Macaca fascicularis: one gene and its partners. The protein of the gene in region 2 interacts with the protein of the main gene of each other region in a pairwise test. Links are inferred from orthologs where the notes say so. Each region holds a gene or a part of one and is shown on either strand. Other genes may lie near its edges.

Region 1 (3,750 bases), on a different chromosome or scaffold from region 2:
GCCCTTGGGAATGGTCACCGAAGCCAGCCCAAAGGGTGACCAGACCCAGAGACACGCAAAGAAGCCCATCACACACAATTCAGGGCCAGGAAGAAGGTGGCACACGTGTGCACCCCCGGCCGGGCCGTCGTCCACGGGTGTGGCAGCAGGCTGGACAGGAGCACTTGAAGCCAGAAGGAAGGGCCCGTGGAGAGAGGGGCCCAGGGCTCACTTCTATTTTTTCTTTATATTTTCTTTATAGCTTTCTACATTTTCCAGATTTTCTTTTTTTCTTTCTTTCTTTCTTTTTTTTTTTTTTTTGAGTCTCACTCTGTCGCCCAGGCTGGAGTGCAGTGGCACAATCTTGGCTCACTGCAACCTCCGCCTCCTAGGTTAAAGTGATTCTCCTGCCTCAGCCTCCCAAGTAGCTGAGATTACAGGTGCCCACCACGATGCCCAGCTAATTTTTGTATTTTTAGTAGAGACGAGATTTCACCACGTTGGCCAAGCTGGTCTCGAATTCCTGACCTCAGGTGATCCACCTGCCTCGACCTCCCAAAGTGCTGGGATTATAGGCGTGAGCCACTGTGCCCGGCTCATTTTCCAGATTTTCTACAGTAAGCACATATTGCTTTTGTCATCAGAAATTAAGACTTTAAAAGGAGAATAAATAAAAAGGAACTTCCCTGGGGAAACAGCCCCAGTGGAGCCCAAGCCCTCTGCAGGGTGGGGTCAGGGGAGCGGGACACACGGCTGGTCCTGGAAGGTGACCCCCTCCTGGTGTCCAGCTCTGCGGGGAGAGGCCCTACCTCCTACTCCTCTGGTAGGAAGTTCAGAGAGTGCGGCAGACCACTTGCAAATCACCGCACAGGAGGCCAAGGGTGGAAGGCGCTTCCTCCCTCCTGCCCTCCCTCTGCTGGCCCCAGGATGTTTAGAAGCAGAGCTTTGCCAAGGCAATGAGATTTTGGGATGGGGGTCAGAGAAGCGGGTTAGAGCAGAGCTCCCTTCCCCAGGGCTGGAACCTGAAAAGGAAAGAAACGTCTACCCCGACACAAGCACGATTCCTTTATTTCGAGCCAGAAAGCAGCCAGCAAGCAAGTGCTGCCACCCACAACACCCTGGGCTACCTGCAGTCCTGTGCCTGACCCTGCAGCCTCGGGAGGGAGCTGTGGGGGGTCGCCCAGGGCCCACTTCCTGCCCCTACCCTGCCCTGCTCACTCCCAGCCGCTGTTCCCCTTCTCGAAGAGCAACCCCTGCTTGAGAACTCTGAGGAGAAACTTGCTTCTAATCCACAGGATTCTGCACTAAGAGCCCCCCCACATCCATCCTGGGGCACCCCAGCATATTCCACCCCTCTGCCCCGGGCACCCAAGGGGCATGGGCACGGCCAGAAGGCCTGTCAGGAGGGCCAGCAGCACCCCCGAGGCTTGTCCCCAAGGTTGGGCGGCTCGGGGCTGGTGGGCACGTTCTCCAGGACCTCACGTAGGGAGAATGTGCAAAAGGAAATCTCATCATAGGAGGTCCTGGCCCCACTCTCGTACAGGCAGGCAAAAACCAGGCCCCCCTCAGGGGCCGGCCCGACAGACGCCAGGTCGGAGTAGCCGCTGGGGCCCTCGTAGATCACCCAGGGCTCTGTCCAGCTGTGCGGGTCCAGCGGGGCCTGGCTCAGCCGGATACCCATGTGCAGCCGAGCCCTGCGCCCCACTGGGTGGGAGTACAGCAGCCACGTGGGGCTCTGGGGTGGGGCAGCAAAGGGCATGGGGAGCGCTAGGGTCCAGGACCCCACATCCCCACTGACCCCAGGCCTGGGGCCAGGCTGCCTGGGGCCATCCCCCTGAGGCTGCAGATGGCTGCAGGGCCCACCAGGCACCTGGGCTCCATGGGGGTCTCCGGCAGCCTCCTCTGGGGGTTCATGGACTCCAGGACCAAGGCGTGGAGGGTGAAGGGGACTCCCGGGGCCCACTGACCAACCATCATCCCGTGGCCTGCTGGGGGCGGGGGCTGGGAAGCCCACGATGCTGCCCTGGCAGCCCCAGGCGGTCTCGGGCAGGGAAGCCACACGCTCTGCGGGCAGGAAGGAGGTGCCCTCGTCAGTGCTGAGTGCCTGCACGCGGCTGCCCAGGGTGCTCCGGGCATTGCAGTAGAGGAAGCTGCCGGCCTGTCCACCATCCACTGCCGCCAGCTGGCACTCGCCCGAGCGCAGGTTGGGCACGAGGCCTCCACAGCGCCAGGTGCGGCCGTGGTCATCGCTGTAGAAGGCGAAGGAGTGGGGGCTGGTCCGGCAGATCTTGCCAAAACACTCTCGGCGGTCCACGCGGTAGGTGTAGGCGGGCACCAGCAGGCGGCCTGAGGGCAGCTGCACGCCGTGGCCGGGACCCACGGCGAACGTGGCCCAGTCTGTGGGGAGGAGGGCGGAGGTGGGAGGGGCTGCTGAGTCCCCGAGGTTGGGGGGGGCGGATGGAGGAAGGCACAGGGGTCGGGGAAGGCACAGGGGTCGGGGAAGGAGGGGCTGGTGCCTCGGGTTAGGACCGTCACACTCTGACCACCCTTCCACACAACTCATTGCAGCCGCCCTGAGTCCTCCCAGGCTGACAAGCCTCTCCCAGCCCTTAGCAGCCGCGCCCAGGTGGACAGCACCCAGGGAGGCTGGCGAGCACTGCCCATACAGATACAGCGGAGGGCGGGCAGGGGGAGTGAGGCCCTGCGGTGGGGTCCTGGGGTCCGCCATGTATCTGCTCCACTCCCTGCTGTGGCTCCCACAGGCCAGGGTCAGGTGGCCACAGAGGACGGGGTGGAGGGAAAGCTGTGGCGAGGCCTGGCCAGGCCCTAGGCGGGGTGAGAAGGGAGTAAAGATTAAGAGGAAGGGGTGGGGCAGGGTGGCTGTTGGTTTGGGAGCTGAGAGACACCTCAGCATTCAGCCTTCTCCTCTGCAGATAAAGGGATGACCTGGGGGGATGAGAGTCTGATCAGCCATAGAGGGCCTGCTCCTGCCCACCGGATGGACTGGGTGGCGACCAGTACCCATTTGCCTGGGACGGGAGGCCCAGGACAGTCCTGGGGAGAGGGCTGGTTGGTTCCCTTATGGCTGGAGGCAGGGGCGGTGGTGGGGCAGAATGGACTTTTCCAGCTGGAATCTCCCTTCCATGTGGACCGTGGCCAATCCGAGGGACCCAGACTGGCACCCTGCCCGCCTACCCTGCACGGCACCACCAATGGCCTCCTCGGTGAGGTCCCGGGCGCTGCCCCACGAGAGGCCGGCGTCACGGCTGGCCACGTAGCAGAGGCGTGCGGCGTTCCTTCCCGTGGCGATCTGCACGGCCTCGGGCGTGTGGCCCAGCACCGCGATGAAGAAGAGGAAGACGGTGCCTGTGCCAGTGTCGTGCACGGGGCAGGGGTTCATGGACCGGTGCTCTGCCAGGGCTGCTGTCCCCAGCACCTGCAGGGCGCCCCACTGCCCAGAGGAGGAAGTGCCACTGACTAGGATGTCCAGGGACCTGGGCACAGCCCCCCGTGGGGCACCCGAGACAGCTGAGCCTGGTTTGCTCATCTCTATCTCGGGCACCCGCCTGCCACCGCCACCCCCGCCCCTGTCCCTGGGTGTGCAGCCCCAGTGGGCCCGGCCACTCACCCGCACGGAGCCCCCGGCCCGCGTGCCCCTCCTCAGCACCAGGCGGTGGGCATGGGAGTCGTCGGGGCTGAGCCGCTGCTCCACAAAGGCCAGCAGGGTGGGCCCAGGGGGCACAGGGAGCAGCGAGGGCACGCGGTAGGTCA
Region 2 (4,724 bases):
GAACTCCTGACATCAAGTGATCCATCAACCTCGGCCTCCCAAAGTGCTCGGATTACAGGCATGAGTAAATTCTTTACAGGAATTTTCACTACATTCTATTAAACAATAAATTAACCTAAGTCTTAAGTCATGCCTTTAACAGCTCACATATTTCATTATCTGTAACAATTTCAATGTCAAGGAATATATTACTGTCCTGTTCACTGTGAGCATTAAGTGTTTTCATCTTAACTAGAAAATAATGCACCCACCCACAAAATTTCAGGGAAGAGAGGAGGGTCAAGTATCTTTAGACGCCCATAACATAGATTCTAAATTAAGAGTCCCTGCTGCTCTAAAGAGAAGGGATATCACTGTAGTAAGCAACACTATTGTAAACAATATTCCCTATCCATATTGGCAGAGAAACATGGTGCCAAGCTGGTTCTTGCCTTAAGCCAAAAGAAACTCCAAGAAAAATGAAAATAGTCTAAATAAAAACAAATAGAAGACATGATTGTTGCACAACACTGTCAGTGTACTAAATTCCACTGAACTGTATGCCTTAAGCTGGTTCATTTTATGGTACGTGAATTTCACCTCAAAAAAAAAATCACATATATATGATTAAGTGTATCTCTCATATAGTGAGTTCTTACCTCATATAATGAGAGACACATTTAATCACATGCTAGATATGGACATAGCCAGAGTCTCCAAAATACAGGATGGCAAAAACTGACATCTTCATTAGAAGTAACAGAAAAAGTAAACAAAATAGAGCTCAAGAAAAAAAAAAACAAAAAAACTCAAATATTTGCTGAAGTGCCTCAAAAATCAAGCTGCTCCTTTGGGGGAGAAAATGTTCCTTCAGAAGAGCCAGAGAAATAAGCAAAGCCATGACGGAATTTGAACTCACACTACCTTTCTACCAGATCAAACCAGACAAGTCACGGCTGTTCTGAGGATTTATGATATGGCCTAAGGCCATTGTTAAACAACAAAGCTGCCAGAGTCAAAGCACATAATCACTCTTACTTGCCCTGACCAGAGTGTGATGTCACTGCATTTCGGAGTAGGCCTCCCTGCACAGGATTACATATCCAGATTTAACATAACCTAGTTTCTATGAAATATAGGTTGTCAAAGTCCCTCCTCTCCTATACCTCCCTCCAGTTCCCTAAAAGAGAAATTGAGCAGCAAAATAAGATTAATACCTTGGGTAGAATAAGGTCAAAAAAAATTAATAGGATCTTAATTCAAATGGCTCTCTGGGAAGCCAAATTAGTTCGTAAAGTCCCTAAACCCTTCTTTTCACAAAGTTGGACTTTACAAAGCTCAGTGCTCACAGTAAAAAACAGAACAAAGTTAACCAAATTATAAAGCAGAAATGTCATTCCAGTAATCTTTTATTGTAAGGGTGAGAGGTGCCAAATTCATTTCTAATCAAATATTCAGTAATAATGCAAAGACAATAGCATCATCAGGTATTATTTTTCTCATAAGAAATTACGACACAAAAGCTAAAATCACCTGTGATTTCTACTTAGACTACAAAGTAGCTTCTTAATATTATATAGAAGCAAAGGAGTTCAAAAGCCTCCCAAAGTGCTGGGATTACAGGCGTGAGCCACCGCGCCCGGCCTACATCTAATTCTTAACCAAAATAACATTAAACTCTGGAAAACTTAAGCCTGGAAGGAAAGAAAGGACAAGAGAAAGGAGAAGGTGCCCTATTTAATATATTCCTTGCTCAGCTTGGTTCAAACCTGTGCCTAAAAAGTTAGTACTTCAAAATATGGATCTTTTAAGGACGGAAAGAATGAAAGAACTGGACTTGAGTTTCTTCATACACAGTCAGAATATTAGATTTATATTGATTTTACCACCCAGCTTTTAGTGAGGATGCTTGCATTATACATCACCCTTTCTGCTTCCTTGAAAGTTTCAACGGTTAAGATACCTGCAAACAGTTCTCACCTTACCAGCACGCTTAGTCATCACTGGAATGTGTTACACGTTTTCTTATAGAGCTGCACCTCCTTCATCTGCTACTTTCTATTATTACTTTGTAAGTGTACCCTGAGGCTAAGCAATTCAAGTATACAAGGAAGGTAATTAATAATTTAAATTGATTCTCATTGAGACCACCTTCTTTCTTAGTCATTCTGCCTTTGTAAGTTTAATGCATTTTCTTTTAAACCACAATGGTTACGATAAGTCTTTGGCGGTTTTCAAAACATTTTTTCTTTTCAAAAGTCAAGTTTGGCTGGGCGCTCTGGCTCACGCCTGTAATCACAGCACTTTGGGAGGCCGAATAGGGAGGATCGCTTGAGCCCAGGGGTTCTAGACTAGACTGGGCAACACAGTAAGACCCTGTCACTGAAAATATAAAAATAAAATAAAATAAAAGTCAAACGTTTAATGAAGCATCCGCGTGAGTTCAATGAAAGCCTGTCCCCCCACCCCACCCCTCCAACAGAAGACTGCTCTTGAAAATAAGCAGCATTAACAAATTATTTGGATTCAAATGATAAGGAAATAACAGTAAGTTCCAGTTTCTTTACTTTCAGCTTAATCTACAGCCTTTCCCAAGCCAGACCATTCCCGCAGAGCCCAGAAAAAGAAGAAGAAAAAAAAAAAAAGGTGGGTTAAGATTTACCCCCATTTGCTTCCCCCTCTCTTACATCGGGTCAATTCTGGAGGTTACTCTTCCTCCAAGAGTCAGGAATGCCTCTTCTTTCCCCAGGTGGTCAAGATTCTAGCGATATGCTCCTCCATTACGGAGCAGGGAAGAGGTTGTCTCTTACCCTCAAGTTACTGGACAGACGACGTTCGCCCATCAATGAGCAAACGGGTTTTTCCCTTTCGCTTTTGCTGGACACGTCTCAGACTCTTAGTGACTCTTAGTGAACGACGCCGAGCGGGGAAGAAAGACGGTTCCCCCCACGGCCTCCAGGCTCTATCAGCCACACCCCTGGCCTCTGGTCCTCCTAAACCCCCAATTCCGAAGTACATCTTACCCTCATGCCCCCAACTACTTGCTGCCACACCCGAGGATTCCCTCACCGCACCACAGTCATCATGGTGGAGACCCTTTCTCCAACCTTTTTCCTCTCACTGGTCACACCCGACGGTTCCCTGTATCCTCAACGGTCACGCTCTTAGGATATCCTCGCTTCCGCCGGTCCTCGACCCAGCCTGGGGTTCCCCTTCTTTTCGTCCCCCACCCCGTCAATTAGGGACACACCCCAAAGGCAGCCTCCCTGAACTCACCGGAGGCGGAGGCGAAGTCGAGGGCGGGGGTGGCGGCGGGAGCCGGAGAGCACAGCCCGGGTGGTGGTGTAATGGTTTCCTGCCCGTCACGATTCTTTTCTAGGTCTAAGCCACTGCGCAAAACCCACTTTGCCAGGGACAAAGATGGTGGGCAGGAAACTCTGACGTCAGAGAACGTCGCCGCGTGACGTCATCGGGGTGCGCGGGAGACCTAGCAAGGCGGTAATCTCTGCCGCCTTCCAGCCCCAAACATTTCCCATGGTCCCAGCAAAGCTGGCCCATCTGGGCCTCAGAGGATGTTAAGTGGCTACTCCAAAGGAATATATTTAAAAAGCTGACAATGGATTTGTTACCTCGCACAGAAATTCTCTGAAAAACGTAAACACAGAGATGATGAAATATCCTGTTCCTTTGTGAAAAACAAAACCCCTCAGCTCATTTTCCTTCCAGGCTCAAGAGCGGACAATGGTGATATAACCCAGGCCTATATACGGGCAGTGGGGCTAGAGGATAGTGGTGCAGGTAAAAGAGGTTGAGGAGGCATTGGATGTGAGTTTGAATCCCTACCCTGAATGTGACTGGGAAAGTTAATGTCTCCTCAATCTTCTTATCTGTGAAATGAAGACAATGATAGTATCTCTCTCGGGCATGTGAAGCGTAAACCAGATAAATTAGGTCAAGTGCCTAGTATATAATAGGTGTGCTTACACAAAAGTAAGTTTCTTTCGGAAACTAAGACCTAGATTCCAGGACCTGGAACTGGAGAACAAGATTGATGAGGTTAAATGAACTAGCTGTCCCTAAGGTTAATTTCAGGGTGTAAGGAAGGATGGAGAGCAAAGTGATTATTTATTTTTCTCACATTTTGCCCATGAACTCTGTGAGTCAGAAAGTGTTTAAGTATTTTAAAACTTCATTCTTAAAAAAGTGATCAGAAGTACATTAAAATTTTGTATAACATACTCATGTATTATTATTTCCTCTGTTATTAAAATAGAGGAATAGGGGAAATTGGAAAGCCAGGTATAAAGAGAGATAATGTAAACACTTATGGTAAATCAGATAGCTGCATAATGTTATAGAATATTTTATGACAGAAAATTCATAAAGTGTTAAGTAAAAATAGGATACAAAACAATATAGTATATGGTATGACTATATATGTATAGAAAAAAAAAAGGCTAGGATAGGCCAGTCATGGTGGCTCACACCTGTAATCCCAGCCCTTTAGGAGACGGAGGTGGGCAGATCACCTGAGGTCAAGAGTTTGAGACCAGCCTGGCCAATGTGGTGAAACCCCGTCTCTACTGAAAAAACAAAAATTAGCTGGTGTGGTGGCACATGCCTATAATCCCGGCTACTCAGGAGGCTGAAGCAGGAGAATGACGTGATCCCAGGAGGTGGAGGTTGCAGTGAGCCAAGATCTCGCCACTGCACTCCAGCCTGGGTAACAAAACCAGACTCGTCTC
Region 3 (2,945 bases), on a different chromosome or scaffold from region 2:
TGCTAAGTAATTATGATTTCCATTTTTATAATCTAACCTGGATTCTTCATTCTGGGACACACACATAGGATTTATCTTTTATGTAGAAGAGTACTTAGATTGAAGGTATATACTTTTCTTTTTTTTCTTTTTTTTCTTTTTTTGAGACGGAGTTTTGCTCTTGTTGCCCAGGCTGGAGTGCAATGGCGCCGCCCTCACTCACGGCAACCTCCGCCTCCCAGGTTCAAATGATTCTCCTGCCTCAGCCTCCCAAGTAGCTGGGATTACAGGCATGCGCCACCACTAATTTTGTATTTTTAGTAGAGACAGGGTTTCTCCATGTTGGTCAGGCTGGTCTCGAGCTCCTGACCTCAGGTGATCTGCCCGCCTCGGCCTCCCAAATTGCTGGGATAACAGGCATGAGCCACCGTGCCCAGCCAAAGGTATATACTTTTCAAAGTATTCAGGAATAAATCTAAATATTCCTGAGTACTTCCAGGAATTGCTAGAAAGACAACATATAAAACCAAACTACTTGAATACTTTGTAGCCTCTAAAAACAGTTATGAGTTCCATGAATAATCTGTAAAAGTCTTCTGGTTGATCAGCATTAGTTCTAAATGATGTTATCAGACTATGTAACTTCAAGTAATTTTTTTTTTTTGAGATGGGGTCTCGCTGTATTGCCCAGGCTGGAGTACAGTGGTGCCATCTCAGCTCACTGCAACATCCACCTCCCAGGTTCAAGCAACTCTCCTGCCTCAGCCTCCCAAGTAGCTGGGACTATAGGCGCTCGCCACCATGCCCTGCTAGTTTTTGTATTTTTAGCAGAGATGGGGTTTCACCATATTGGCCAGGCTGGTCTCGAACTCCTGACCTTGTGATCCATCTGCCTCGGCCTCCCAAAGTGCTGGGATTACAGGCGTGAGCCATGGTGCCCAGCCCAACTTCAAGTAATCTTCCAATCATTATTTCTATTTTTGAGATACTGGTTCATAAAACATCAAATATCCATGAATCACAGTGCTATCCACTGGCAGCATGGCAGTGAACTACAATGAAAACCAGTTCTACAAAAGACACTTTGAACACCATTGTTTCACACCTTTAATACTGTCTTAAAGGGTCTATTACTCTTCAACTATCTTAGTGTACTTTGAAATATAAAAGTAATAATTATCATTGGAACAGTTATTCTAAATCTAAATAACTCCTATAGTAATATTTGTTTACTCAGAACATATTTTCATTTCCAATATATGTAAAATTTCTCACAAATATAGAACAGAACTCACAGTTTGAACAGAAACCTCAGTGTTTAAATCTCCACATTCAGTAAAATAAACACTACATAGTAGGTTGTTCTGAATATAAATCACTCATTTAAGTAAATGGGATATAATTTCTAACTTGTGTTAAAAGTGAAGAAATCATTTTTTATGTGAAGCCTTGCCCCAACTCAGTCAAGTGCAAGATTATCATATGATACAAATCAAACTCTACTAACACAGCACATTTGTCAGAGACATTGAAGGCAGATACATAACTACAGCTGGGGAACTGGATGTCCTTCAGCTAGAGGGTAATGAAAGAAAAAAGCATATCATAGATCAGGCCCCAGTTTTAATTACTTCATTGATGACAATGCCTTACTTTATTTATTGAAGAATGTTTCTTCCACTGAAAATACACTTCTAATTTTATAATGCTAGACAGTAGGGGGAAAAATAGGAGCCCATTAAAAAAAAAAATCCACTCTTAGAATCTAAAGTTATTGATATTGATCAGATACGCAATGACTCTTTTCTGCTGTGAAGACAATCAAATCTTTTTTTCTTTTTAAGTACTGACTTGCCAATTTATCTTTGATAACTGATTCAGAAACATAAATGAACCATGTGACTTTACATATGAGAATATGTACATATATATATATATTCTGAGAAGTTATGTCCCATGATCTGACCCATACTTCTGATTTAAAATATAACTAAGTTCTCTCAATAAAACAGTACTAATTTTAAGTTTTAAACTGAAGTCACCCTTTTACCACACTGTTCTCATTCTCTTTACTTTTTATTTTTACATTATTTCTATAAATACTAAAAAAGAAAAAACCCAAATCCCCAGTCTTGAAACCAACTTACATTAGAGGTCTGACGTTAGTTTATAACTTTTAAAATATTTTGTTAAAATGTAAAAAACCTGAAATTACAAACAAAAAAATTTATACTTTTACAGTATATATCGAATTTTTTTAAAAAAATATTCTGAACTGTTTTTATATATGTAATCAAGTGTTATTTTTTTAAATGAAACTCCTTTATAGGCTAGAGAAGGATATGTGGTATTGCCCCATTAGAAATCAATATGCATTTCATTTTTTTATGCTGGTACTTCAACTATTTCAAAGTAGTCATTTGGTAGAATCACATAACCTCTTTCTGATACGTCGTCTTTCTCTTTCTGGAAGTGAACAACCTCCTTTAATTTTTCAAGCTGCCGTTCTTGCCTTCTGCATCGCTGCTGTGCGGTCTTGAGCTTCTTTCTGAGTTTTTCAACTTGCTGTTCTAGCTGATGAATCCTTTTCCGCTGATGCATTGTATCCTCCACAGTATAGTTGTGGTCACAGAAAACTGAGAGATTAACAGGGGTCTGAAGAGGTGGCATTAGTAATCCAATAGCAGCATCAACCTGGGAAACAGGAGGCGGTAAAGGTGGTGGAGGAAGCTGTTCCTGTGGCTCCAGATCTTCTTTCTAAAACAAAAGTACAAAGTATGTTTGAATTTAGTAACTAAAAATAACAGTTTAAAACAATTTGTGGACTGACCAGGGGTAGTGGCTCACGCCTGTAATCCTAGCACTTTGGGAGGAAGAGGTGGGCGGATCACCTGAGGTCAGGAGTTTGAAACCAGCCTGGCCAAACATGGCGAAACCCCGTCTCTACTAAAAATACAAAAATTAGC
Region 4 (3,432 bases), on a different chromosome or scaffold from region 2:
AGTTTTAAAGTTCCTAGTCTTGGCCAGGCATAGAGGTTCAGGCCTGTAATCCTAGCACTCTGGCAAGCCAAGGCAGGAGGATTGCTGGAGTCTAGGAGTTCAAGACCAGCCTGGGCAACATAGCAAGACCCCATCTCTACACAAAATAAAAAATATTAGCCCATTGTGGTGGTGCATGCCTGTAGTCCCAGTTACTCGAGTCTGAGGTGGGAGAACTGCTTAAGCCCAGGAGGTCAAGGCTGCAGTGAGTCATGATTATGCCACTGTACGCCAGCCTGGGTGACAGAGAGACTTGTCAAAAAAACAAACAAACAAACAAAAACCACAAAATATCCTAGTCTACACAACTGTAACCTATACAACTGAGCATAAATCTCTTCAGTGGGTTCTCAGAGGATGGACTCCAGATATACAGTGCATCACACTGTTCACCATCCCCATAGTAAATACAATACCAAGATTCATGGGGCTGTTACTTGTAACACCTGTCAATATAAACCAAAGCATCACAGAGAAGTGCAAAGTTAAAGCATCTCAAGAGCGGCAAAGATGATGCAGCCCAAACATACAGTGTGTAGTCAGAAATACTGTTTAAAATGACCCACTGGTTAAAGACCCACTATTTAACACTATTTAATCTGTTTAACTCAGATTTTCTAGTATTTCAAATATTAATGACGTATTAGGGAATTCTTAATACTAGATGATATCTGAAGTAAGTTTTATTTGCCATACCCTAATCAAATTGTGCTGATTATATCAGCACTGACAAAAATCCCTAGGAGGGAAAAATCAGACTTAAGACTAAAATTCCTGAATTGTGATTATTAATTTAGTACCTATGTGGACAAAAAATGGTCATTCCTCAAAAGCCAAATAAAGCACCAGACAAAATTTTATAAAATTACAAATTAAGAATTTATTTATAAGTTTTCATCTTTTTAGAAATAAAAAGGCTTAAAAAACAAAATGGTTGCAAAAATGGTTAATTTTGTTATATCCTAATTGCTTAGGTGTGCTCTGTAAATTCCAAATAAGTAAAATAATATAAAAATACATTTTCAAATCTTTATAGAACAAAAAAAAAAACATTAAATGCTTTTGGATTTTCTTTACTCCTCCCACAGATGAGTTCACAAATAGAAAAACTGGTGTACATTTATACTCTGAAGTACAAATCTCCAACAGCCAAGTAATTATAGTTTCTTCTGTTATGTGCAAAGATTATTTCATATTGGTATGGAAAGCAGAGCACAGGCTCAGTGGACAATAATCATTAAACAGATGATGTTCAAGAAAATGCTGTTGTAAAAATGTACAATAGTACATATAATTTTGGTAATTATGCACTTCTCCTTTTAAAGTAAATACAGCTTTTAGATATAAATCTTTCAAAGGTTTTCTTTGAAGAGCTGTGAGGTGACTGTATTTCAGATTTGATGGACAGTAATTTGTCAGTAAACTTCTCAAAAAACCAAGCCAAGAGAGAATTGTTTTCTTTTTCCCTCCACGTGGTCGGTTTCATTCTTAAGGAAGGGCTGATGCAGTAAGAAGATGAATTTCACAAACCTTTACACAAGTTTGTGAACTGTCAACTAAAGACACCACCTCTGATGTGGATGGTTTCATTCAATCCATGTTCGACCAGCTTTATATCTTCTAGATCATCTTTAATGATGCTAATCAAATGGCTAAGGCCTTCCTGTTGTTGTTTCAAATGCTAGAACAAATTAAGAAACAACATATTAATGTATTAATTTATTAAAACTGCAAGCTAGTCACAGGAAAAAGGACTCCACTTTGACTGTTTTACTAATAACACAGTACCTAGTAAGTGCTTTAAATATAGAGGGCATGCATATTTAAACATTTGTACTACATCTTTTGCTAACAGTGAAAGACAAACTCTAAAGAACAATAAAATCAAACAAATATAAAATGAACAGTATCTTCCAACAAAAATGTTTTTTAGATAGCTATTTCCTTTTACCAACTTTTAATAAAGGCATAATAAAACAGAACTCAAAGGAGGTATTCAAATATAGATGACTAACAAAATAACATTCTGAAAACTGAGAATATTCATGTTTTGAAGTACAAAGTATATAGCGATAATGGTGATGATGACTACAGATGCTAACATTTTTTAAAGACTCCTCCTTATGGGTTAAGGTGCTGTTTTAATAGTGAGTACTGGTATTCACTTGTTCAACTCATTTAAAATCCTTTTGAGCACCCTTTGGGGTACCATTATCATATCCACAGTTAAAGAAACTACAGGTAAATAACCTACCCAAGGTCATAAAGTAGATGGTGAACCATGATTCAATCCCTGAACAATACACTGCTCATCATTTTAAAAAAGACAAGTGTTTAAATTATTCAGTTTTATTGCATATATCAACCTACAACTATTACAATATACTGGAATCTGTTAATTTATTGCAAATACTTAAAACAATGGAATATAATTGGTTGTGTAATGTCCAAGAATCTAGAAGCCAAACTAGTTTTTGGTTACATAAAACCAGCCATATCCATTCTAAAGCATATAATAAAATTGGATTTGTTGATGACATTTATAACCTTAATCTAAAATCCTCAGGGCCATGCCAACAGTCATTAGCTACCTAGTATGCTCCACAAAGTTCATCATCTTCATATATTTTCTTTAGATACAACTGTTCATTTTCATTAAACCAATCTGCATTTATACTAATGAAAATAAGCCAAAGCAGTGTTTCCCAACTTTTTCACACAAGGTGAAAACCCGAGAAGAGTGGCTGGAGGTTCTGGCCACCTCAACCTACCTCCATCCAGATCTCCTGAGGGCTTAGGGGATAGATCAATAACAACATGTTTATAACTTACGTGTGACATATAGGCAGGGAAGGTATTATCTAAAGCAGTTGCTTCTCAAACTTTAAAGTGCATACAAATCATTCTATGATCTTGATAAAATGCAGATTGAATACATCTGGAGTAAGGACTGAAATTTTGCATTTTTAATGACCTTCCAGGTGCGGTTACTGCCTACACTTTAAGGAGCAAGGTCTAGTAAACTGTAGTGTCTCTATTACCTTTTAAATTCATCTTTTTGGTGAGGAGAGGGATACTTCACCTTTTTAAAATTGTGGCAAAACAGGCTCACCATAAAATTTTGCCTGTAACTATTTTTAAGTATACAGTTCAGTGGCATTAAGTATACTTATGCTGTTGTGCAATAATCAACACTATCCATTTTGTTCAGAACTTTTCATCATCTCAAGTTGAAATTCTGTACCAATTAAGTTCCTCCCATCCCCTCCTCCCCTCACACCCTGGCAACCACCTTTCTACTCTCTATTAATTGAACTACTAGGTACTTTTCACAAGTGAAATCATAAATATTTGCCCTTTTACGAGTGGCTTATTTCATGAAACACAACTTCT
Region 5 (4,282 bases), on a different chromosome or scaffold from region 2:
CGCACCCGGCCTCCACTTGTTTTTTAAGGAATTTTTTAAAAGCATAATCTGTACATTTCTACTCAAGAACATTTTGCTCAATCACTTATGGCAGACATTAGAAACGGACGGCACAGAGTCAGGTTAAAATGACGACCCTCTTTCTCTGCCATTTCATCCTATCCATTAATCCTGGGGTTCCTGATGTTAGGCCTGAGCTGGGATAGGGGGTGCAAATGGTTTGCAGCCCCCTGTTCTCAATCAGGACCCACAGCTTGAATTTATGTTTTGATCAGCTGTCAAACCCAGGAGTGAAAACCACAGAGAAGCATGTGTGCGCTGTGTAACTGAGTCCCCTCAGGGCAGGCGACTGAGTGGCAGGAGTAGCTCCGGGCCCTCCCCTGCCTCACTCACCTTGTATCACGGGGCCTTCTGACTCACTCTGATCAACCAGCTCTGAAAATGAAGCAGATTGGTTTAATAATGTAAGGACGTGTTGTTCCCTTTGACAAGCATTTTAACATACATTTGCTCAAGATGAGAAGGATACAAACCTCAGAGTTCTGATACGGTCCTCAGAATCACTAATTCATAGTAATTACCATAAAACTCTATTCCACACTACCGCACAAGAACAGGAACAAAAGAGAACATTTTTTTTATGTATGTATTATTTATGTAAATAAATAATTTATTGAGACAGAGTTTTGCTCTTGTTGTCCAGGCTGGAGTGCAATGGCACGATCTCAGCTCACTGCAATCTCCGCCTCCAGGATTCAAGCGACTCTCCTGCCTCACCCTCCCAAGTAGCTGGGATTACAGGTGTCTGCCACCACACCCAGCTGATTTTTGTATTTTTAGTAGAGACAGGTTTTCACCATGTTGGACGGGCTGGTCTCAAACTCCCAACCTCAAGTGATCCGCCTGCCTCAGCCTCCAAACTGCTGGGATTACAGGCATGAGCCACCGCTCCTGGCCTCACTTTTATACATTTTTAATAATAAAGTTAAGAGAACAAAAACACACTTGGAAAACTAAGTTTGGCTTAAAATACTACTGAAAATGACATCAATGTTAAGGCATTGAAAGGACAGTTGTTCACCCGCTCGACAATATTTGAAAGCCCAATGTGTGCCAGACGCGGTGCTGAAATAGTAATAGAAGCAGGCACATTAAGTGACTGACTTTGGCACGAAATCCAAGCACAGTCATTATAACAGTCATAAAAGCAGTAATAAATATAGATTGTATTCGCTGAGCACATACCGTAGGCTAAGCACATACTATAGGCTAGATGCTGTTCTAGGTTAGGGGGCTGCAAACTCTTTTCTTACAGAGCCAATCAGTAAGCATTTTAGGTTTTGCAAGCACACACTTGCTGTTGCCACCTCTCAGTTCTGCCATAAACAAATGAACACGATGGTGGTTTCAATAAAACTTTATGCACACACCTCGGCAGGAGCTTGCTGACACTTGTTCTAGATGCTTTCCATCTACTGGAACGACTCCCCCAGAATCAGTGCTATTATTACCATTTTATGATTAAGCACATCGAGGATAGGAAAAGTTAAGAAGCTTGAAGAATTTTACAACTTGGAAGTGCCTGGTGTTTTTACTGAGGGCTAAAATAAGTATCTGGCACGGCTGCTGACATAGGTGAAGGAACGTGATATACTTTAAACACATATACACACTCACACGCACATATGTCAGACCCGGGGAAAAAACAGAAACGCTTCACAAAATACTCACGGTTATTAATCACAAGTCCTGGAAATGGTCTAAAGAGAGAAACAAATTGTAAAGTATAATAATTTATTTTCACTCTATAAGGATTTACAGGTATAACTGTCTATTCAACTCATATCTAGCCCATGTCATTTACGTACTACAGTGAGAAGTATTATCCACGATCTTATAAACTTATGGAAGAGATAGATACGTATCCATAATAAGAACACTGTTAGAAAATGTTACTCAGTAAATGGAGGAAAAACAAAAAACAGAAACGCCAGAGCAGGAAACAGAGTGATTCTAAGTTCAATGCATGGAAGAACGCAAGGGGCTTTTGGCCTAACTCCTGGGAATGATATGGAGAATGACCATGGGGAAGCGGAACAAAAATATGAGATTTTGAGGGAAAGAAGGTTGGAAGAAGACGAGTGAATGAGAAGAAGCCTCAAGAGGATTTATTATGAGATTTCTGAGTGCCAGTCCTAAGAGATGTGAACTAGAGACAGTGGCAGTTTAATGATGAACTGATTGGGTAGGTTGAGTTGTAGCTAAGTTTCTGGGGCGCTGGAAGAAAAAGAGGAAGATAACCTGGGGTTGGTGCTCAGGTGGGCGTCTCTTTTTTTTTTTTTTTTTTGAGACGGAGTCTCACTTTGTCGCCCAGGCTGGAGTACAGTGGCGCCATCTTGGCTCACTGCAAGTTCCGCCTCCCGGGTTCAAGCCATTCTCCTGCCTTAGCCTCCTGAGTAGCTGGAACTACAGGCACGCACCACCACGCCCGGCTAATTTTTTGTATTTTTAGTAGAGACGGGGTTTCACTGTGTTAGCCAGGATGGTCTCGATCTCCTGACCTCATGATTCGTGCGCCTCGGCCTCCCAAAGTGCTGGGGTTACAGGTGTGAGCCTCCGCGCCCGGCCTAGGTGGGCGTCTCTTATGGTAACAAGGACACAGGAAGGAATGTGGCGCTCAAATGGTGTTAGAGGATGAGTACAATCATCATGCCTGCTCTACGGGAGGGAACTGACACTCTCCGTGGTAACAATGGTCACTCTCATTTACAGACAAGGAACAGAGTGACGAGGCTAACAAATGGCTGATGCGAGGTTGAATCCGTCTGAGCCAAAGCCTGTGACACGGCGCCCTAAGACAGAGGTTGGCAAAGTTTTTCTTTCTTTCTTGAGATGGAGTCTCACTCTGTCGCCCAGGCTGGAGTGCAATGGCATAATCTCGGCTCACTACAACCTCCACCTCCTGGGTTCAAGCGATTCTCCTGCCTCAGCCTCCCGAGTAGCTGGGACTACAGGCACGCACCATCATGCCCAGCTAACTGCTGTATTTGTGTACGGACAGGATTTCACCATGTTGGCCAGGCTGGTCTGGAACTCCTGACCTCAGGTGATCTGCCTGCCTTGGCCTCCCTAAAATGCTGGGATTACAGGTGTGAGCCACTGTGCCTGGCCAAGGTTTTTCTATAAAGTGCTAGAGAGTAAATATTTTAGACTTTGGAGGCCATGCCGTCTCAGTCCCAGCTATTTACTCACTGTGACAGGAAAGCAGCCATGGATAATACGGGCGTAGCTGTGTTTCAGGAAGTCTCTAAAAATAGGAGGCAGGCTGAATTTGGTGAACAGACCTAGTTTGCCAACCCTTTGCCAAGAATTAAAAGAGTCGGCTTAGGCAGAGGCACATCTAACATTCTAACGATGAAACAAGTTATCTTTATTTGTTCATTGCATCGCACAGGAAGCCTGATTCGATGACTACCTGTGGCTGCGTTTTAGATGAGTCAACCTCATGAGCTCCAGACTCATTCCTGTGACTGAGCAGAAAACTCTCACTTACCTAATGACCGTGAATTTGATAAACTCGGCAGAATCTAAGATCCTTCTCATGGAGCTGATTTCCAGGTAGCTGGGGGCTTTGAAGGACACCCCCGGGGGCATGCCGTCAACCACCACACAGCCAGGGTTAATTGTGATTTTCCTGTAGGGAACTTTCACAGGAAAACCCATACCAATGGCTTCACCTACAGTGACAGTGAGACAAACAGCACAACAGCACAGATGAACCCACTGCCTTAAAAAGTCTGTCAAAAGCACCAGATCAACATTTATTTTAAAGACTGTCTCTGCTGTTAACTAAGGTCTTTGTACACGTCAAACAAATTTAAATATGAACCTTAAAAAAAATTTGTTTTTGAGACAGAGTCTCACTCTGTCACCTAGGTTGGAGTGCGATGGCTTGATCTCAGCTCACTGCAATCTCTGCCTCCCAGGTTCAAGCAGTTCTCACGCCACAGCCTCCTGAGTAGCTGGGATTATAGCCATGCGCCACCATACCTGGCTAACTTTTTGTATTTTTTAGAAGAGACAGCGTTTCACCATATTGGCCAGGTTGGTCTCAAACTCCTGACCTCGACGAATCCACCCGCCTCGGCCTCCCAAAATGCTGGGATTACAGGCATGAGCCACACTGCCAGACGGTGAACCTTAAATTCATGAACTTTTGTACTGACAATTGATCATATAACACTAATGGTATCTTATTAAATAAATTTAGCATAAACAAAAC
Region 6 (4,890 bases), on a different chromosome or scaffold from region 2:
TCCAGCCTGGGCAACAAGAGCAAAACTCCGTCTCAAAAAAAACTAACTAGGTGTGGCGGTTTGTGCCTGTAGTTCTAGTTACTAGGGAGGCTGAGGTAGAAGGATGGCTTGAGCCCAGGAAGTCGAGGCTGCAGTGAGCCATGATTGCATCACTGCACTCCAGTCTAGGGTACAGAGTGAGACCCTGTCTCTACAAAAAACGGTTTTTTGGCTGGGTGCAGTAGCTCACACCTGTAATCCCAGCACTTTGGGAAGCCGCGGCAGGTGGATCACCTGAGGTCAGGAGATCGAGATCATCCTGGCTAACACGGTAAAACCCCGTGTCTACTAAAAATACAAAAAATTAGCCGGGCACAGTGGTGGGTGCCTGTAGTCCCAGCTACTCCGAAGGCTGAGGCAGGAGAATGGTGCGAACCCGGGAGGCGGAGCTTGCAGTGAGCCGAGATCACCCCACTGCACTCCAGCCTGGGCGACAGAGCGAGACCCCGTCTCAAAAAAAAAGAAAAAAAAAATTAGCCGGGTGTGGCGGTGCTTGCCTGTAATCCCAGCTACTAGAGGCAGGAGGATTGCTTGAACCTGGGAGGCAGAGGTTGCAGTGAGCCAAAATCATGCCAGTGCACTCCAGCATGGGCAACAGAGCGAGACTCTATCTCAAAAAAAAAAAAAAAAAAAAAAAAAAAAAAAAAAAAGAAAGGTTTTTTGGAATGAATAAGAGTAATTTGTAAGAATAATAAAAGCAAGTACATTTATTCTGGTCCACAGTTCCTGTTACTGAATGAATGAGTATTTCAAATTCACTCAGTAAAATTCACCAGTAAAATTTATTATATGAATGAGTGAATGAATGAATTGGACAAATTTTGAGCACTCAGTGCTGAGCACTAGGGACATAAACATGAACCAGACAAAGTCCCTGTTGTACTGGGGCTGACGTGTGTGGGTGAGACTGAGGAGAAACAAGATGAATGGATGGATGAATTAATGATAGGATGAATGAATGGATGGATAGATGGGTGGATGAATGGATAGATGAATTAATTAATGAATACAAGAATGGATGAATGGATGGATGGATGGATGGATTGATAAATGTTTAGGTGAATAAATTAATGCAAGAATGGATGAACAGATGGATGGATGGATAGATGAATAAATTGATGAATGTTAGAATGCATGAATGAATGGATGAATAAATGGATAGATGGATGGATAATGGATAGATGAATAAATAAATGAATGCAAAAATGGATGAATAAATGGATGCCGGATGGATGGATCAATGAATTGATGGAAGATGGCTAAATGAGTGGATGCATGGATGGATTAATTAATGGATGGATTAATGAATGCAAGAATGGAAGGATGCATGGTTGGATGGTGAATGGACAGATGAATGAAAGGAAGGATGAATGAATGGATGGAAGGATGGATGACTGGTCTGGGGTCTCCACCCGTCATTACTGCTGGGTGGCTAGGGAAAGTGAAGGGGGGCAGCAGACGCATCTGAAGTCGTAGTACCTCTCCCGGCCCCGCAGCCGTCTTCACGTTGGCCGACAGCGCTGCTCACCTGGCCGCCTCCCCTTTAAGACGCACACACCTGGGCTCTCACCTGGGCGCAGGCGCTTCCGCAGGAAGAAGGAAGCGGCGCCGCTGTCGCCTCCCGGCGCTCCCTGCCCGCCTCCTAGGTCCCTCAGCTGCCACCATGTCCGCCTCGGCTGTCTTCATTCTCGACGTCAAGGGCAAGGTGAGGCTGGGCATGAGGAGTTGGGAGACGGACAGGTGAGGTCTCGCTCCCGGGGATTCAGGGGCGACCCCTCCGCGCAGGCCACGGAGGCCCCAGCAAGGGGCCTGGGAACAACCCCCCGCCCCCGCAATCCCTGGAAATCCCGGGTCAAATCCCACCTCCAGCATTCACTCGCTTTGTGCCTGAGGCCAAGGCGATCGCCTCCCAGGGCCTCAGTTTCTCTGTATGTAAAAATGGGAGCAACAGAGGTCCCCACCCAATGAGAATTAATACAACTCGCTGCGTGTAAACTACTTAGCACAGTGGCCTTTCTGGAAATATTAGGGACTCAGCAAATTGAAATTATCTCCATCACCGTCGGCATCCACAGTGTTAATACCTGGGGAAGGCAGCTGGAACAGGGGCCTCTAACTCCCCCGATCTGTGGCTGCCTTGCCTCTTCCTGAAGTCCTTTTATTCCTCTTGTCTTTTTTAAATTTGGAGACAGGGTCTCTTGCTGTCTCCCACGCTTGAGTGTAGTGGTGCAATCATAGCTCACTGCATCCTGAAATTTCTGGGCTCAAGCGATCCTCTTGCCTTGGTCTCTGGAGTAGCTGTGACTACACAGGTGCAGGCCACCATGCCTGGCTAATTCTTGACATTTTTTTGCAGAGGGATCCCGCTATGTTGCCAAAGCTGGTCTCAAACTCCTGAGTAGCTGGGGCTGCTGGCTGACCCCTCCATGCCCGGCTTTTTTTTGAGGTGGAGTTTCACTCTTGTTACTCAGGCGGGAGTGCAGTGGTGCTATCCTGGCTCACTGCGACCTCTGCCTCCTGGGTTCAAGCGATTCTACTGCCTTAGCCTCCTGAGTAGCTGGGATTACAGGTGCCCACCACCACACCAGGCTAATTTTTTTGTATTTTTAGTAGAGACGGGGTTTCACCATCTTGGGCAGGCTGGTCTCAAACTCCTGACCTCAGGTGGTCTGCCCGCCTTGGCCCCCCAAAGTGCTGAGATTACAGGCATGAGCCACCGCGCCCAGCCATGCCTGGCTATTTTTAATTTTTTTTTTTTTTAATGGAGTCTTGCTCTGTCACTCAGGCTGGAGTGCAGTGGCTCCATCTTGGCTCACCGCAACCTCCACCTCCCAGATTCAAGCAACTCTCCTGCCTCAGCTTCCCGAGTAGCCGGGACTACAGGTATGTGCCACTGTGCCTGGCTAATTTTTGTATTTTTATTTTTTATTTTTTTGAGATGGAGTCTCACCTTGTCGCCCAAGCTGGAGTGCAACAGCATGATCTTGGCTCACTGCAACCTCCACCTCTCGAGTTCAAGTGATTCTCCTGCCTCAGCCTCCTGAGTAGCTGGGATTACAGGCGCGTGCCATCATGCCCAGCTAATTTTTTGTATATTTAGTAGAGATGGGGTTTCACCATGTTGGCCAGGATGGTCTCAATCTCTTGACCTCGTGATCCACCCACCTCGGCCTCCCAAAGTGCTGGGATTACAGACATGAGCCACTGCGCCCAGCCACATCTGGCCTATTTTTATTTTTTTGTAGAGATGGTGTCTCGCTATGTTGCCCAGGATGGTCTTGAACTCCTGGGCCCCAGCTATCCCCTGCTTCAGTCTCCCAAAGTGCTGGGATGACAGGTGTAAGCCACAGCAGCCAGCCTGTCCTGTCATTTAATAGCCAAAATAAGAGTGGCGATGAAAATAATATTCCCGTTAATATTAATAGTGAGAACTAAGATGTTTGAGAACCTGCCATGGGTCCTCCCTGTTCAGATGCTGGACGAAACAACCTTAGGAAGTAGTAACTCTTTTTTTTTTTTTTTTTTTTTTTGAGACGGAGTCTCGCTCTGTCACCAGGCTGGTGTGATTTCAGCTCACTGCAACCTTCACCTCCTGGGTTCAAGTGATTCTCGTGCCTGAGCCTCCCGAGTAGCTGGGATTACAGGCATGTGCCACAACACCCAGCTAATCTTTATATTTTTAGTAGGGACGGTGTTTCACCATGTTAGCCAGGATGGTCTTGATCTCTTGACCTCATGATCTGCCCGCCTCAGCCTCCTAAAGTGCTGGGATTAAAGGTGTGAGCCACCACGCCCAGCCAGAAGTGTTCACTATTATGGATGGCTTCCTACCAGGCACAATCATATGAACAATCATTTTTCTTTTTCCTTTTTTTATCCTTCTTCCTTTCCTTCCTTTCCTTTCTTTTTCTTTTCTTTCCTTCTTTTCTTTCTTTCTTTCTCTCCCCTTCCTTCCTACCTTCCTTCCTACCTTCCTTCCTACCTTCCTTCCCTCCCTCCCTCCCTCCCTCCCTCCCTCCCTCCCTCCTTCCTCCTTCCTTCCTTCCTTCCTTCCTTCCTTCCTTCCTTCCTTCCTTCCTTCCTTCCTTCCTTCCTTCTTTTCTTCAGGGTCTCACTCTGTTGCCCAGGCTGGAGTGCAGTAGTATAATCACAGCTCACTGCAGCCTCAACCTCCTAGGTTCAATCGATCCTCCTGCCTCAGACTCCAGAGTAGCTGTGACTACACAGGTGCAGGCCACCATGCTCAGCTAATTCTTGAAATTTTTTGTAGAGGAATCCCGCTATGTTGCCAAAACCAGTCTCAAACTCCTGGCCTCAAGCGATTCTCCTGCCTCGGTCTCCCGAAGCAGTGGGATTACATGAGTGAGTCATTGCACCTGGACTTTTCTTTCTTTGTCTTTTTCTTTTTTTAAATAATCCCACTTTGGTGCAAATGAAGTCTGGGGCAGCAGCAGGGATTCTGGACCCAGGATGACTTAGATCAATCGCCAGTTTCCATATGCTTCCAATGGACATGGTTTCTAACCTCACTTCTCCTATGTGAAATTGAGATGATGATAACATCTACCCCACAGGGTTGTGGCAAGAACTAATAAGTTAGCAAACATCTACTCTTGTTTTAGTTGCCTGCCTTCCTGCCTGCCTGCCTGCCTGCCTGCCTTCCCTCTCTCCCTCCCTTTCTCTCTTTCTTTCTCTTTCTTCTTTTGAGACGGAGTCTTGCTCTGTCGCCAGGCTGGAGTGCAGTGCCGCGATCTCAACTCACTGCAACCTCCGCCTCCCAGGTTCAAGTGACCCTCCTGCCTCAGCCTCCCGAGTAGCTGGGACTATAGGCGTGCATCACCACATCCGACT
Region 7 (4,282 bases), on a different chromosome or scaffold from region 2:
GAACTGTCCCGGCTGGGGGTGAAAGGATGTCCACTCAGCCAGAGGGGTGAGCCCAGGTGTGAAATGTGGGGGCCCAACCAGAAACTGATCTGATGGCTCCTGCTGAGCTCGGACCACAGCCACCTCACCCTCCTGTCAATACCTGGGCGGCTTCAGAGGACTGTCAGCTCCCTGGGTTAAAAGCCACCTAAGATCATCTTCAGAGCTATTCTCAGGGCCTTCCAGAACCAGGTGAAATACACACAGAGGCGCACCACAGGGAGCCGTGGACCAGCACAGCCCACATGGGAATGTGCACACGAGTCACCAAGAACAGATCTTCCTACAATGCAGATTCTGACAGGGCAGGGCTGGGTGGAGCCCGGGATTCTGCATTTCCAAAGGGCTCCCAGGGGATGTTCTGGCCCATTGGCCACACTGTACTACTGGCAAGGCCCCAAGTGTCTCCAAGAACACAGGAAAGGGCAGAGAGCCCATGTCTGCTGGGAGCAATGTGCACAAGTCAGCTCAACTGACCCGAATGGTCCTGCAGCGAGGGGTCGTTGTTCCCACCAAACTGTGGGAAGGTGAGGGATTCGCCTCCAGCCCCATGGCTGCTGGAGCTGGGGCTCAAACCAGGCTGTGGCTGCAAAGCAGGCCCTTCCGCAGTAGTGTGGGTACTGAGATGGGCCTGCAGGTCTGCCCAAAGCCGTGGGGTGGCCAGTTAGACCTCCTGGATAGAAACTGGCTTGGCCAAGTCTCCCCATGGGCCCAAGGACAGGAAGGGTGGGGGACTCTGAGATCTGGGTGGGGCTGTGAGAAGTCTCTCCCCTTCTCTGTACCCTACCACCCCTCCGTGGTCCAGGCCACTTCCCCTCCCACCTGCACGATGGCCCCAGCCTACTCCTCACCTACCCATGTCCTCTCCTGTCCCCACAGTCTTGCCCCACTCAGCAGCCAGAAACCTCCAGAAGATGCACATCTAAAAGCCTCCAAAGACTTTCTGTCACATTTCAGATGATGTTCTTTGAGACCCCAGACCCCGCTGACCACTCCGGCCTCACTGCTGCCACACGCCCCCTCTCGAGGGCTCCAGCCACCCCGATTGCAGCTGCTGGAATGAGCCTTTCCCTTGCAGAGCCTTCACCCACGCCTAGTGCCTGCCTGCCCCTCCAGCTGGCAGACGCCAGGCCTCCCTGCAGGCTTCCTCCAGGGTGTCACTTCCCTTCCTGGGCCCCTGGGCCAAAGAAGTTCAAGTCACACCTGCTCCTCTCCCCGCACCCATCACGCGTGTCATCGTGCATTCTCTGCCTGTCTCTGCAGGCAGCAGGGAGCTCCGGGAGGGCTTGGCTGTATCCAATGCTCCCGCTGTGCACAAACCAGTCCCGGCTGAAGGCGTGTGGACGTGCACACACACCAACACCCACACAGGAGTCTCCTGGGAGCCGCCCCAGTAAAGGGATACGATACAGGTTGTTGTGTTTGATCCACATGAAACGGACCCCTCCGTGGGCCAGGATGGGCGACAGCATCCCCTCCTCCTCCTTCTCCATCAGGATGGGCATGAAGTGCTCCACCTCCGACATGTCCACGTCGCCACGGTAGTTCCGGCAGATGAGCACCTGGGGTGGGGAAGGAAGAGGAATGATGCTTGCATTTTCAATTCTACAATCCAGGGGCTTGGGGCAGGGGGTGAGATGCACCAGCCTGCTTCCCTCTGGGGACTCCGGTCATGGCCCCTATCCGCAAAAGAGCAGGACTCGAGGCCGTGCTGATCTCCATCCCCCAGGGAATTCCTGGAGAAGAGCATCTCCCAGTGTGAACGTCCACAGGGGCCACTGCAGTTCTTTGCAGGGTGAGGGTAGAGGGGAACTCTGCGGCAAAGGTCCAGGACCGAATCATTCAGAGACATCAGGTTAAGTAATGCCTCACAAGCTCTCAACGCAGACCTTCTCAGAGCCTTTGCCGGGCCAACGCACCCTGCTCTCCCGCCTGTGTCAGGGCGCCCACTCCCGCTGAAGATTCGTATTGACTGAAGTCCACCGGTGGCCTGAAGAGGAGAAGCCCTCTTGCTGGTCTCTCTCTTTCATAGCCTGTGGGTCGGGATATACAGCACCCAGAAACCCTGTCCACTGCTGAGAGGAAAGGAAAATGGGACAGCTACTTTGGTGCAGTCTGGTAGTTTCTCAAAAAGTGAAACCCAGTGTTACTATCCGATCCAGTCATTCCTCTCTCTGGTATTTACCCAAGAGAAATGAAACCACATGTCTGCACAAAGACTAGCACAAGAATGTTAACAGCAGCTTTAACTGAAACAGACCCAGACTAGAAACAATGCCAATGTCCTTCAGCAGGTGAACTAGAAACAAACTGTCCGTGCACACCATGAGAAGCACGCCTCGGCAACGAAAGGGCTCGGACTCCCGATACGCGGGCGCATCAGAATCACTGTGCTGGCTGAGAGAAACCAGACAGACGAGCGCTCATCCTGTATGACCGCACGTGTATAAAAGCCCAGAAAATGGTGATGAAAAACACATCGGTGGCTGCGTAGGGATGGGGCTGGACAGCAAAAGGGCGTGAGGAAGCTTTCGGGGGCGATGGAATGTGTGGTTATGGCTTCCCACATGACTGAGCTCATCAAATTGCACACTTTAGATAAGTGCAGGCTATTAGTGCAAATTACATCTCATTAAAGAAAAAAAGGAGGTCGGAAGTTTTGCTAGCCTGGGCACGGCTGCGGTTGGAGATGCTGCTTGGAGCAGCTGCAGCTCTTGGGGCCTGCAGGACAGCCAGCTGCAGGACTCGGCAACGCGCTGAGAAGGCCATTGCGGTGCTGACCATCCTGGGAACCAACTGCCTCAGAACTTGGCATTTCATTACACGCTGACTTTATTCTCTTAAGGAGAGACTGGGGGTGGTGGAGGGTGGCACCTTCCTTTCCTAGTGTCTCATTCGTGGCCTGTGGGACTGATTGGAGGGAGGCAGGTGATGACGTGTTGAGGGACCAGCCCCTTCCCCTGCTGTCACTCTTGACCCCCCCAGGTCCTTCCTCACAAAGGGTGGCAGGGCTCTTCCCACACAGAGGCCAGATGGGGTCTCTCTCCCACTGTTGAACTGCCACCTACCCCAGCCTCCCCGGCACTGAGAACAAAGCCCAAGTCCGTCCCCGTGGCTCCCAAGGACCGGCGTGGTCTGGCTCCTCACAGTCTCTGACGCCTCTCTGCCTGCGCTGCCCTGGTCCATTCCCCTCCAGCCGGGCCCCTTAGCTGGTCTCTGAGTGATCCACATCTGTTCCCACCTTGGGCCTTTGCCCTGATCTGGCTCTTCTCACTTCCCAAGGCTCAGCTCAAATGATACCTCCTCTAAGGGTCCTCCCAGCTGGGCGCAGTGGCTCACGCCTGTAATCCCAGCACTTTGGGAGGCCGAGGCGGGCGGATCATGAGGTCAGGAGTTTGAGACCAGCCTGACCAATATGGTGAAACTCCATCTCTATTAAAAATACAAAATTAGCCAGGCATGGCGGTGCATGACTGTAACCCCAGCTACTTAGGAGGCTAAGGCAGGAGAATCACTTGAACCCAGGAGGCAGAGGGTGCAGTGAGCCGAGGTTGTGCCATTGCACTCCAGCCTGCATGATAGAACATAACTCTGTCTCAAAAAAAAAAAAAAAAAAAAAAAAGAAGTCCTTCCTGCTTGCTCTGGCTGAGATCATGTCCCATCCCTCTGCACCCTGACCCCTGCTTTATCCCTATCACCTGCTGCGTTATACATTTATCTGTATCCTCGTCTATTGTCTGACATCCCCTGAGAACAGCGATGACTCCTGTCTCATTCACAGCTGTGTTCCAGCACCCAGAACGGGGCCTGGCCCATAGTAGGTGCTCAGTAAACATTTGTGGAGTGAATATGGGGGTGAGGAGAAAAAGGAAGCGAGGATAATGTCCAGGTCTCCAGTGCAGGTGGCTGAATGGGTGATGGCATCACTGAGATGGAGAGAGAGCAGGTACAGGGAATGCATTCAGAGAAATGCTGAATTTGTGGTGATGGCGGGACCTCCCTAGTGTCCCAGAGGCCAGTGGATCTCCAGAGAAGTGCTGTGGACAAAGTCGAGAGTCACCGGCCCATGGACATGAGTCAAAGCCCACCTGGGAAGAGTGACAGCATGGGGAGGCACACGTAGGCCTGAGCCACTCCACAGCCCTGAGGAGGGCAGAAAGGGAGGAGAGCAGGCGGTGCGAGAAACAGGAGGAAACCCCCGAGCGCAGCCTCCCGGAAGCGGAAGGGAGCGCTGAAGAGGAGG

Evidence for each region.
Region 1: the proteins of AP2B1 (region 2) and NEU4 interact in binary tests that used the Homo sapiens proteins (3 or more experiments, as listed by UniProt). The two-hybrid records come from large-scale screens. The link is inferred for Macaca fascicularis from reciprocal best matches to the Homo sapiens genes AP2B1 and NEU4.
Region 3: the proteins of AP2B1 (region 2) and THAP1 interact in binary tests that used the Homo sapiens proteins (3 or more experiments, as listed by UniProt). The two-hybrid records come from large-scale screens. The link is inferred for Macaca fascicularis from reciprocal best matches to the Homo sapiens genes AP2B1 and THAP1.
Region 4: the proteins of AP2B1 (region 2) and NUP54 interact in binary tests that used the Homo sapiens proteins (3 or more experiments, as listed by UniProt). The two-hybrid records come from large-scale screens. The link is inferred for Macaca fascicularis from reciprocal best matches to the Homo sapiens genes AP2B1 and NUP54.
Region 5: the proteins of AP2B1 (region 2) and GTF2I interact in binary tests that used the Homo sapiens proteins (3 or more experiments, as listed by UniProt). The link is inferred for Macaca fascicularis from reciprocal best matches to the Homo sapiens genes AP2B1 and GTF2I.
Region 6: the proteins of AP2B1 (region 2) and AP1M2 interact in binary tests that used the Homo sapiens proteins (3 or more experiments, as listed by UniProt). The two-hybrid records come from large-scale screens. The link is inferred for Macaca fascicularis from reciprocal best matches to the Homo sapiens genes AP2B1 and AP1M2.
Region 7: the proteins of AP2B1 (region 2) and AP1M1 interact in binary tests that used the Homo sapiens proteins (3 or more experiments, as listed by UniProt). The link is inferred for Macaca fascicularis from reciprocal best matches to the Homo sapiens genes AP2B1 and AP1M1.

The regions. Positions count from the first base shown.
Region 1 is NC_088386.1:137,751,318-137,755,067, reverse strand, and holds the end of NEU4 (sialidase-4), read right to left. Parts: coding exon 3,608-3,750; intron 3,431-3,607; coding exon 3,175-3,430; intron 2,377-3,174; coding exon 1,379-2,376; 3' UTR 1,030-1,378; downstream 1-1,029. UniProt on the Homo sapiens protein: Exo-alpha-sialidase that catalyzes the hydrolytic cleavage of the terminal sialic acid (N-acetylneuraminic acid, Neu5Ac) of a glycan moiety in the catabolism of glycolipids, glycoproteins and oligosacharides.
Region 2 is NC_088390.1:41,889,005-41,893,728, reverse strand, and holds the start of AP2B1 (AP-2 complex subunit beta), read right to left. Parts: upstream 3,363-4,724; 5' UTR 3,087-3,362; exon of another isoform or gene 3,003-3,086; intron 1-3,002. UniProt on the Homo sapiens protein: Component of the adaptor protein complex 2 (AP-2). Adaptor protein complexes function in protein transport via transport vesicles in different membrane traffic pathways.
Region 3 is NC_088382.1:46,373,988-46,376,932, forward strand, and holds the end of THAP1 (THAP domain-containing protein 1), read right to left. Parts: intron 2,737-2,945; coding exon 2,365-2,736; 3' UTR 1,074-2,364; downstream 1-1,073. UniProt on the Homo sapiens protein: DNA-binding transcription regulator that regulates endothelial cell proliferation and G1/S cell-cycle progression.
Region 4 is NC_088379.1:57,767,327-57,770,758, reverse strand, and holds the end of NUP54 (nucleoporin p54), read right to left. Parts: intron 1,721-3,432; coding exon 1,592-1,720; 3' UTR 895-1,591; downstream 1-894. UniProt on the Homo sapiens protein: Component of the nuclear pore complex, a complex required for the trafficking across the nuclear membrane.
Region 5 is NC_088377.1:53,637,963-53,642,244, reverse strand, and holds part of GTF2I (general transcription factor II-I), read right to left. Parts: intron 3,738-4,282; coding exon 3,554-3,737; intron 1,761-3,553; coding exon 1,732-1,760; intron 436-1,731; coding exon 394-435; intron 1-393. UniProt on the Homo sapiens protein: Interacts with the basal transcription machinery by coordinating the formation of a multiprotein complex at the C-FOS promoter, and linking specific signal responsive activator complexes.
Region 6 is NC_088393.1:11,138,186-11,143,075, reverse strand, and holds the start of AP1M2 (AP-1 complex subunit mu-2), read left to right. Parts: upstream 1-1,629; 5' UTR 1,630-1,702; coding exon 1,703-1,744; intron 1,745-2,824; exon of another isoform or gene 2,825-2,922; intron 2,923-4,890. UniProt on the Homo sapiens protein: Subunit of clathrin-associated adaptor protein complex 1 that plays a role in protein sorting in the trans-Golgi network (TGN) and endosomes.
Region 7 is NC_088393.1:16,523,233-16,527,514, reverse strand, and holds part of AP1M1 (AP-1 complex subunit mu-1), read right to left. Parts: intron 1,602-4,282; coding exon 1,445-1,601; intron 1-1,444. UniProt on the Homo sapiens protein: Subunit of clathrin-associated adaptor protein complex 1 that plays a role in protein sorting in the trans-Golgi network (TGN) and endosomes.